Linked DNA regions of Oryctolagus cuniculus. The protein of the gene in region 1 interacts with the protein of each later gene in a biochemical or structural test. Links are inferred from orthologs where the notes say so. Each region holds a gene or a part of one and is shown on either strand. Other genes may lie near its edges. The genes, in order: GRB2, SOS1 and KHDRBS1.

Region 1 (3,217 bases):
CCCTTCCCCGGCACACCAGGGCCGGCGGCTCCCTCAGACCCTGGCCTTCTGGCTTGGTACGGGTAGAACGCCCCCCTCCCCGCCTTCCGCTGTCTCCTCCCTCTACCCTGCTTTCCCCTCCCCTGAGGGAAAAGGATTTACAGAGAGTGGGAGACGAACCGGCTGGAAGGCCAATTTGGACTGTCTTTAATTTATCTGAAAACAAAACAAGTAAGACACATCCCTCCTAAGCAACCCGGGACATGGGGAAAGGCACCATGGGAAACAGCAATGCTCAGGGACGCCGCTCCCACGTGGAGCCAGCGACGGAGGCTTTCAGTCCGACTTTCTCAGGAAGCCGAGGGGCAGGTGACACGCCTCCCTCCCACCCCCGACAGAACAGCCCCAGGCTGGGCCCGCGGACGCCACCCTGACCCGGCAGAAGCTGCCCGCCTGCTCCTTTCTGTGTGCACGCACGGAGAACACAGCAGTAGTTGTTCCAACTAAACAGACATTTTGCATAGAGAAGATACCAGCGCACGTGGTTTCTTTTCTTTTATTATTGGCATCAGCTAGGACTATACGTGGCCTTACACGTCATGCACTGAAGAACGGGAGAAAAAGGACGAGAAAAAGGACAAAGGCGGGGCAAAGGAGCAGCGGTGAAAATCTGTAATAAAAACTCTTTTCTTAATAGGTAAGTTTTGGCATTTTTATATCCAATGCCCCCTCCCACCCCCCGAAGTTCCAACCCAGGTCAGAGAGTCACGGGCGTGAGGTGACCCAGCCAGGTGTCCGGGCTCCTGCAAGGCTGCTGGGAGAGGCAGCCCGGGGCTGTCATTCTTTCGTGTTTTCAACTTTTCACGGCTTTAAATAACCTCCCCTTGATTCTTAGACATTCCGGTTCACGGGGGTGACGTAATTGCGGGGGAACATGCCGGTCTGCCCGTGGCAAGCCCCCTTCCACCAGTTGGGGTCAGAGTTATCCATGACATGGATGAAATCTCCCCGGCGGAACCCCAGCTCTCCGTCCTCCTGGGGGTCAAAGTCAAAGAGGGCCTGGACGTACGTCGGCTGCTGCAAAAGAGGAGCAGGGAAAACACGCGTGTGACACCCCGAGCCTGGAGTCCTTCCTGCGCTGGGCACCCACGCTCGGGGGCTGCACTCCCCAGGGCGTGTCAGCAGCATAGTCAGCACCCCTGGGAGTCTGGGCTCCTGCACAGCCCAGGATCCAACACCTCTGAGCTCCTGTCGCTGCCAACACCCTCGAGGGTTTGCAGTCAAAACATCTGGATGAGCTTGAAAACATAAGGTGGTGGACTCAGCTGGGCCGCCAGGGACAGGCGCACAGGTGCGAGCACAGGCCCCAACCCTCCCTACAGGACACCCCTCACAGTTTTCTTCCCGGGACAGAATAGCTGACAGACAGGTGGTGAGCGAGCCACACACCTGACTGCAAACCGCAGGCCTCTGTGTGAGCTAAGGGTGATGTCCTGAGCACGGGGGCTGGAAGTGACCCTCTGAAAGGCACCTGCTCCTAACCGCTGGAGGTGAGCCCGACTCTGCCCCAGCCTTACCTGCGGCACCTGCTCTATGTCCCGCAGGAATATCTGCTGGTTTCTGGAGACAGACGTCGACCTGTGGTAATCCACCAGCTCATTCAAGGAGTTGAACTTCACCACCCAGAGGAAATACTTCCCCGCTCCGTCTCGGAGCACCTTGAAGTGCTGCACGTCATTTCCAAACCTGGGGGTGGGGCAGAGAACACAGCACGTGGGTCAAAGGGCTCTGGCCTGGCCCATGAGGCCCTCTGCCAAACAGGAGGGGTCCAGAGAAAGCCACTGTCTGGCAACGCTCCTCACAGCCTGCGGGCCGGTTGGCTACACGCCACTGAGCCTGGCTGGAGAGGGTGGGACGGCCGCTGAGCGTGCCGAGACCCTCACCGTGACTGACGGTCACCCGCAACAACACAAAGAGCCCTCACGGGACAGGCCAGGCCCCACTCGGTCTAATTCTACAGGCATTTATGGGATGGAGAATGAGGCCGGCGCTGCAGCACACTGCGCAGAGGCGCTGCCCGTGGCACCAGCATCCCATGCGGGTGTCAGTTCAAGCCCCAGATGCTCCATTTCTGACCCAGCTCCCTGCTAATGCAACTGGGAAAGCAGCAGAAGATGGTCCGATATCTGGGGCCCCTGCCGCCGTGTGGGAGACCTGGAAGAGGATCCTGGCTTCAGACCCGCCTAGTCCTCGTCATTGCGGCCATGTGGGGAGGTAACCAGAGCATGGAAGACCCCCCCCACCCGCCGCCGCCCCTACCGCTCTCTGTCTTTATCTCCTCTGTCTCTGCAACTCTGCCCTTCATGTAAATTACCTTTAAAAAAAAAAGGAATGTCCCAACCCATGCTGTGCCCTGCACTGTACCAACTACATCAGCCTCACTTAAGACAAGGAATATACCTTAATTAACTACGCTTCAAGCAAAAATAATTAAAATCTCAAAGGTGGGATAGAAAATAAGGTGAGGAAGCAGATACGCTCAACAAAGCTCCAGGTACCAGAAATACTCCAGTCATTTCCCACTTGGGGATTTGAGTTCTACTCACGGGATAAAGGCCGTGGGGGGAAAAAGGATGTACTGGGACAGCAAAAGAGGCCCAGGCACCAAAGTCCCCACACCCTCCATCGCCAGAAAATCCACTCCCCTTAATGCTGGCCAGCAACACAGAGCTGCCAGTGACACCTGCTGTCCCGTTCCCTGCTGAATCCTCCAAGGACTCAGTGAGCACGTGTTCCTCAAAGCCCTCCTTTGGGTCGGTATTGCGCCATAACAGGTAAAGCCCTCGCCTGCAATGCTGGCATTCCATACGAGCGACGGTCAAGTCTGGATGCTAATGGCGTAGGAAAAGCAGCAGACGAAGGCCCCAGTGCTTGGGTCCCTGCCACCCACGTGGCAGACTGGGAGGAAGCTCCCGGTTTCAGCCTGGCTTAGTGCTGGCCATTGCAGCCGATTTCTCTTTTTCTCTGCAACTCTTTCAAATAAGTAAATAGATAATTTTAACGTCAAAGGCCCTCCTTCAGTATTAAAGCCTAAAGAAGCCAACACTTTCCAAAAACAGCCAGCAGGTGGCAGGACTGGGCTTCAAGGAAGCCGGAGTGCAGGATACCAAGTGGGGTTGGGGGAAGACAATCCAGTGGCCCTGGCATTCCCTCCCCCACTATCCATAGTGTGGTTTGT
Region 2 (2,950 bases), on another chromosome or scaffold:
TTCTGGGCTCAGCATATGCTGAGACAACCATTTCCCTGGTAGAGTGCCTTCACACGAAGCTTCAGATCTGTCTCTCCTGTCCTCTGTCTCTGTATGTATTTTTAAAGAACTGCTTGAAACCAAATTACTCTTACTTTACAGATTAAAACGTCATATTTCTTTAACCTTATCAATAGCTTTTGGTTTATAAAAACATACCCAAAACTAACTTCAGAAGAAAAGAAATAAACATGACTACATGAATCCTTATTAAACTAAGCCCAAATATTCTGAGATGTTCATCTATCCCAGTTTAAAATAAACTATATCTAAACAACTGATGATACTATAACTGTATTGATTCCAATTTCCAGATAACAAGATTTTCTACTTTACCTTAGATGGAGAAGATTCCGCTGGGGCAGATTCTGGTCGTCTTCGTGGAGGAACAGGAGGGGGGACAGGCACTTCATCAGTGCCCTTGGTTAAACTTATAGATGATACTGAAGCAGATCCTGTAGGATGTTACATTTTAAAAACAGTTCATGGGAATTTTATTTCATTTATTAATCTTGAAAAGATTTAGCTGGAAATTGATTATATCTATTAAAAGAACTATGTAGAAGTACCCAGTAGTATTTCATTTATTAAAGCAAACTGCTATAAATGCATGCAGAAATTTCTTAGCAGAATTTTTAGAAAAAAGCTGCCTAAGACACTGTTATTTTGATTCTTGAACAAAATAACATTCCCAGTGTCAATCTGTTATTGGGATTTTTAATTGAGTCTGATTCTCAGATTTTTGGGAGAGATAACAAACTATTAAAAAAATCTTTGGAATGGTAATTTTTGTTAAGTTTTGTGATGGGTTCATTTTTGCCTCTGACTTTGTTAGTATAGAAATTCCCAGGTCTTTCTGGATAGTTCCTGGGAATAGAGTTTCTGATCCTAACCTCTGTCCCCAGTGCCTCTCTCCAGCAGTTCTCTCAGTGGATGCAAGGGAAAGAATCTACTGTCCAGGGAAGGATTTCTCCGCATTTTGCTTAGGTATAGGTTATCCTTAGCGTATCAGCAAAATCAGCCTCTAATCTAAAAACTGGAGCTGCGATGAAACTATTTAAGATGACTAAGGCAGACACACAAAGTAAAGCTTCTACTGAGAACCTGTCTAACAGACATTTATGGTGACAAGGGCATAATGTAGGTATGTAAATCATTACACTCTGAAAGACAACACATGTGTAAGTTAGCTAGTTTATAAATACTATAAAAATGGACATGAAAAAATACTTAAGCCATCCAATCACTAAAATTATACTTGGTAGGATTTTTTTTCCCCTTTAGGCATTAAGCTTTTGTCAGTTAAATGTTACAAAATAATTTAAAAAGCACTTTGTGTTCTGAATTATTCAAATGATCAACTACCTTTTTCTTAAGAGACTATGTATACTAACTTTAGTGTACAATATTTTCCATTGTATAAATTTTGAAATCTTTTTTATGAAAGGACAGCAAAAATATTAATCTGTAAGCTTAATATAATTAAAATAATGGAATTGAATGGTTAGTTTACTTCAAAAGCAAAGAGCTACAATGCAACTTAATGATAACTACTTGGGCCTTATCATGTAAATAGCTGCAGTTATTTGCCTCCAGCCTAAGCTGTCTACCAAACTATGTATAGCTGTGATTCAGACACTGCTTTAGCTGCCAGCATTCCCATATGCGCATGCATGCTCTTGCTGCTGTTTTCAAAGTTGAGCAGTAAAATATATTCAGAACTCCATAGTGGGAAAAGAGAAATGGTTACATGGGGGAAGCCACTCATTTAATATGTTCTTTTAAAAGAGGGAAAAAAAAGTTTTTAAAAAAGCATGAAAAGTATATAAATTTAAGCAAATCACTTATGATTAAAAGATAGCACAAGTGAGGGCCTCACTTCTAAGATGTTGCAAGCAAGGTACCAATGCTGCCAGACCCAAGACGAGTTTTAGCAGGAAAGGTTACACTTGGTTTGATTTTTTAAAGCCAAAGCAAGAATTATGAGTCTTAAACCAAATATACTAACTTGGGCCATGGGGCAGTGTTACTTGGATAAAGACGGTATCGCTGCCTGTGAAAGGAAACAAGAAAAAGTAGATTTTTCTTTCATTGATATATTCAACCCATATGTAAAAATTTATGATGAAAGTGTTATTCTTGTCATTCTAATTCTAAAGAATGGTGTAACAATTTTTAATAAAAACTCATTATTACTTACTTTTGAGAAGAAAAAACTGAGTTAATATTTGGAACTTTGAAGATGTTTTAGATTTACTGTTTGATGTAATAATTAAATGACAAATATTCACAAGAAAACTATATTATTGTAAGACTAAGTTGCACAGATTAAATCAAGCAAAGAATTCAGGGGGCCATTCAGAAATGTCATTTACTAAAAATTATTTTGAAAATTCAAACTTGTGAAAGAAGTAATAAATAAGAAATTATTTTATACAAATTAAAAAGAAAAGGGAATTTCTTAGTACTTTATACTTTTGAAAAGTGTTCCTGGGACAGGTATTCTCATCACAAAATAACTACAGCTCTGGATATTCAAACAAGCTGAAAGTGATACAGCTTTTTTCCTTTTGTGGCAATAAACACTCTAAAAAAATCAGTAAAAGTTTGGGGCTGAAAGACATTTTTTGAAGGAAACTGATAAATTTAAAGTGTCTAATTTCAACAATATTAAAAAATGATGGTATAATTAGTACAATACAGAAATAAAATAAAATCACATCCGTTGACTATTACAGGTTGCAGTCTTTTTGAAAGAATTATACAGATGCATACACACTTATAGACATGGATGTAAAGTTGGCTTTGAACATGTTCACATATAGCATGGTCTTAGATTCAAACACTTGGTAAATTTGGGGCACATCTTTGGCCTTATTTCTTTTAACTCATTGGTTGGTCTCGCCATCTG
Region 3 (3,752 bases), on another chromosome or scaffold:
CTGACACAACGTTAGCTGTTTTTCTAATATATGTTCTCAGGGATTAAACACTATTCTTTCTTCTCAGTCTCATTTCCTTATGATTGGTTGACTTCACTGTAATCTCTTCTCTAGAAATACCTTAAGAACCATATCCAACAAACATTAAGACTTTTCTATGCTAAGAAGTATCCACACAACCCAATTTTGTTCTCAATATTTCCATCCTCTTTAGGTTAAAAAAAAAAGGCATTAAAAAAGCCCAAGTTTGAAAAAAAATAAGGAGCAGTGAGAGAATGAAAAATATAAATAATCTTTAAGGATCAATGATTTTTAATGGTTATCCTAAGAAACTATCTTAAAAGATGAACATCACGCTGGGCAATGGAGATAGTCAGAAGGGCAAAATATATCTTAAGTTCTCATACCTTGTTCATTACCATGGATTCACAACCAGAAAAAAATTGTGGTGACAGCTTCTTCTAGCTAATGATACAGATCAAAAGAAACTGCTGGTGATTTTACAGATCATTTAATCTTCCAAACTTACCATCCACTTTACAAATGAGGTTACTGAGGTTCAGAAAGCTTCCCCAGAGCCGGTAACTAATTAAGGGCCAGCGCTGAGAACCAAGTCAACACCTTTAGGCTCTAAAGTGTACTTTATTCTCCTGCGTTTAATGCAATGCGTACTGCCTGAAGATTTGAGAAAATTAAAAATCCGACTGCTAAACCAAACTTTACCAATTAGTCTGACATTCCTGAGTTTGCATGTGTACATTTTCAAACACCTGGAGTTTGCTATGTCCAGCACAGTACCAAAAAACATGTTTAAATATAAAAAGCAATTCTTGCTCTCAAAGAGCCTGTCAGAAGAAAACAGGAAAAGTAGAATGTGGTTATATAGGACAGCACAGAACTGAGTTAAAGATCTTAAGCAATTTATCGAAATTTTCTAATTGTTTATTGCGTTAAAAAAAAAAAAAAACCCTTACCAGTGTTGGGAGAGAGAACAAAGGGAAGGAAATGAGATTTTCATAATGAACTGTCAATGAACTGTCCCTTGTATCAATCTTGTCAATGGCTCCGACTTCTCATTCAGCGTCGAAGGCCATGAACTGTTACTCTACCATTTAGGTATAATAAATATTTCTTTGAAAAACATTTCTAACTATAAGAAAAGGTCAAAAAGAGGCTGCAGTGAGAAATCAGAGCGATTAGGGAGGGGGTCAGGGCTGCCGAGGGAAGAAGCTCCCGTCCGCGGAGAACAAAGACTACCATTCCCATCTATCTCGCCACGGAAGCAAGAATGAACACAAAAGGCCAAGTCTTCCAGGTGCAGGCACCGAGCAACTTCTCTCCACGGTCCGTCCCTCGCGGTGGGGCCCGTCCTGGGAGCTCCCCTGCAGCCCTTACCGCCTCCCGTCATCTCATTTCACTGTCCCCAGGGCTGCTTCCCCGCTTCTTGAATGACGGTTGAAAGCACGTTGTAAAATAAAACGGCGACAACCTTCCGGCTCTGCACAATCCTCATTTCACCTGCCCGATTCGGACATCTGATTCGGAAAACCTCAAGCTCCGACTCCCACGAGTCGCTGTGCCTCGGCGCAACTCCAGCTCCCGTGACGGCCAAGTGCGGCCGGGCCCGCGAGACGCCCGCGCGCCGGCCAGGGCCCTCCGGCCTCCCACGATCCCCGCCGGCTCGGGCTGCCTGCAGCGCCGACACCCACGGCCGAGGCGCTCCCCGCCACCCAAGAGCCTTCCCCTCGGGGGGGACGCGGGAGATACGGGCTCATTTCTGGAAGAATCTGAGCACTCGGAGCGCGGGGCAGCTGCGAGAGGAGGGAGGGGGAGGGTCGGGAAGGGGGCGGGGAGCTCGGCGCTCGGAGATCTCCCAGTCGCTTTCGGGCGCCCGCAGCAACCCTGCGCCGGGGTGGGAAGGCGGGCTTCAGGCCCCCGAAGACGAGGGCCAGAGGGGGAGCTCCCGACCGCCACGGTCCCGAGGGACTGGGATGCCAGAGGAACAAAGCCGCTGCCAACCTCCTCCCGCACCCCTCCCGCCCCGGTGGTCCAGCGACCCCGAGGGACCCCGAGGCCCGCTCACCTGCAGTCAGCAGCTGCATGGCATGAGTGAAGGACGGGTCGAGCGAGTCCTTCTCGGCCATGAGTTCGGGCAGGTACTTGTTCTCAGGCTCCATCTTGACCGAGGCCGTGGCTGATGGGGGCAGCAGCGGGGTCGGCGCCGGACCACCCACCGTCGCGTCGGGACCCGTGGCCGAGGGCGGCAGCAGTGGCGGCGGCTGCGTGGCGGGCGAGGCCCGGGCGCCCCCCCGGGGCCCTCCTCCGCCTCCCCGGGACCGGTGAGGCAGCGGCGGTTGCCGAGACGGCGTCTGACGCACCGAGGGGTGGGCACCCGAGGGGTCCATGGAGCCACTGCGGCCCGAGGACCGGGTCATGCGCGCGGCGGGGTCGTCCCGGCGCTGCATCGCGGAGGATGTGCGATCGAGCGATCGAGGGGACCGACGCGGCCGAGGCCCGGGCGGCGGTTGGCGGCGGCGGTGGTAGAGCGGGAGCAACAGCGACCGAAGCCGACCCGAGCGACCCAGCCAGAGAGAGCACCGGAAATGAGGCAGCGCGCGTGCGCACCAAATCCCGGCACCGCCCTTGGGTTTCTCCGCGAAGAACAAAGTCCCCAGTCGGGCCACGGCGCCTGCGCACTGCCGTGGTGCCCGAACCGGAGGCCTCCCCCCTCCTCTTTTCCCTCGGAGCCCGCCAGGCCGGAGCTTGGCGCGCGTGCGCGGACGGCCGCGGGCTCCGTTCGTTTTTTCTCCCACGTGACTCGGCGCTAGCGGGACACGTGTCTCCTCCCCCTTCGGACCGGGTGCGCGGAGGGGGCGGGGGCTGTGGAATGTCTTTGTCTGAGCGCGGGCCGGCGGCGAGCGTGGGGCGGAGGTGGGGGGGAGACCTGTTACTCGTGGGCCACGCCCCCTCCAACGGCCGAGCCGCGGAGCCGGGCGGGGGGTGTGGGCCGGCCACCGGCGTGAAGACGTGCTGGCTGCGTGGGGCACGCGGGGAGGGAGGCGCAGGGAGAGGCTGACGCCGGGATGCGTGGTGGCGCTGGGGACGGCCGGCTGACTGGGAGACTTGAACTGAGAGGGCGGAGACCTGAAGCGTAGCAGGGAGCCCCGTGCTGTCCCGAGGTTTCCCGCACACTAGGTTCTGACACGCTAGCCGTGGTTAGTCGGGGAAGTCCGTCCGTGTCGCAGCCTGCTTCCCGCTTGAAGCGGTTATTTCGCGGAGTGAGCAGAGGCCGGGTCTCAGGCGGCCGTGCTGAGGCGAGGGCCTTGGGCAGCGGATCTCTCGCCCGAGGCCGGCTCGGGTCTGGGAGCTGCGTGCGGGGGAGCCCGGGTCTCTACTATCAGTCATCGAACGCCTGGCGCGTCTCTAACTTTCCCTTCCGGCCGCAGGTTTTTTTTTTTTTTTTTTTTCTTCACCCATTCAGAGTACTCCTTCCATCCCTTTTCCTTCCGGATCTGTTTCCTAAATGAGCTCGCGACTTTCAAAAGCGTCTCTGGAAACTGCCTGCTGGGTGCTTGGAAACGTGATTTCTGGATTTGAAGCTCAGACCCCTTTAATGAGGGAACATAAAGGCTTGGCTACGTTTTTTTACTAAAATGAGAACAAAACGCTAATATCCATAAATTATACGTATAAAGTACAAAATACATAAAAAATTTTGTACAGATTATGGGTTATATAAATAAAAATACATG

What was found.
Region 2: the proteins of GRB2 (region 1) and SOS1 form a complex in vitro, tested with the Homo sapiens proteins (15 studies listed by BioGRID and IntAct, with this or other methods). The link is inferred for Oryctolagus cuniculus from reciprocal best matches to the Homo sapiens genes GRB2 and SOS1.
Region 3: the proteins of GRB2 (region 1) and KHDRBS1 form a complex in vitro, tested with the Homo sapiens proteins (3 studies listed by BioGRID, with this or other methods). The link is inferred for Oryctolagus cuniculus from reciprocal best matches to the Homo sapiens genes GRB2 and KHDRBS1.

Annotation. Positions count from the first base shown.
Region 1 is NC_091448.1:5,230,533-5,233,749, reverse strand, and holds the end of GRB2 (growth factor receptor-bound protein 2), read right to left. Parts: intron 1,726-3,217; coding exon 1,557-1,725; intron 1,057-1,556; coding exon 871-1,056; 3' UTR 522-870; downstream 1-521. UniProt on the Homo sapiens protein: Non-enzymatic adapter protein that plays a pivotal role in precisely regulated signaling cascades from cell surface receptors to cellular responses, including signaling transduction and gene expression.
Region 2 is NC_091433.1:163,884,254-163,887,203, reverse strand, and holds part of SOS1 (son of sevenless homolog 1), read right to left. Parts: exon of another isoform or gene 2,093-2,950; coding exon 2,048-2,092; exon of another isoform or gene 495-2,047; coding exon 376-494; exon of another isoform or gene 1-375.
Region 3 is NC_091438.1:140,421,432-140,425,183, forward strand, and holds the start of KHDRBS1 (KH domain-containing, RNA-binding, signal transduction-associated protein 1), read right to left. Parts: upstream 2,687-3,752; 5' UTR 2,466-2,686; coding exon 2,084-2,465; intron 1-2,083. UniProt on the Homo sapiens protein: Recruited and tyrosine phosphorylated by several receptor systems, for example the T-cell, leptin and insulin receptors. Once phosphorylated, functions as an adapter protein in signal transduction cascades by binding to SH2 and SH3 domain-containing proteins.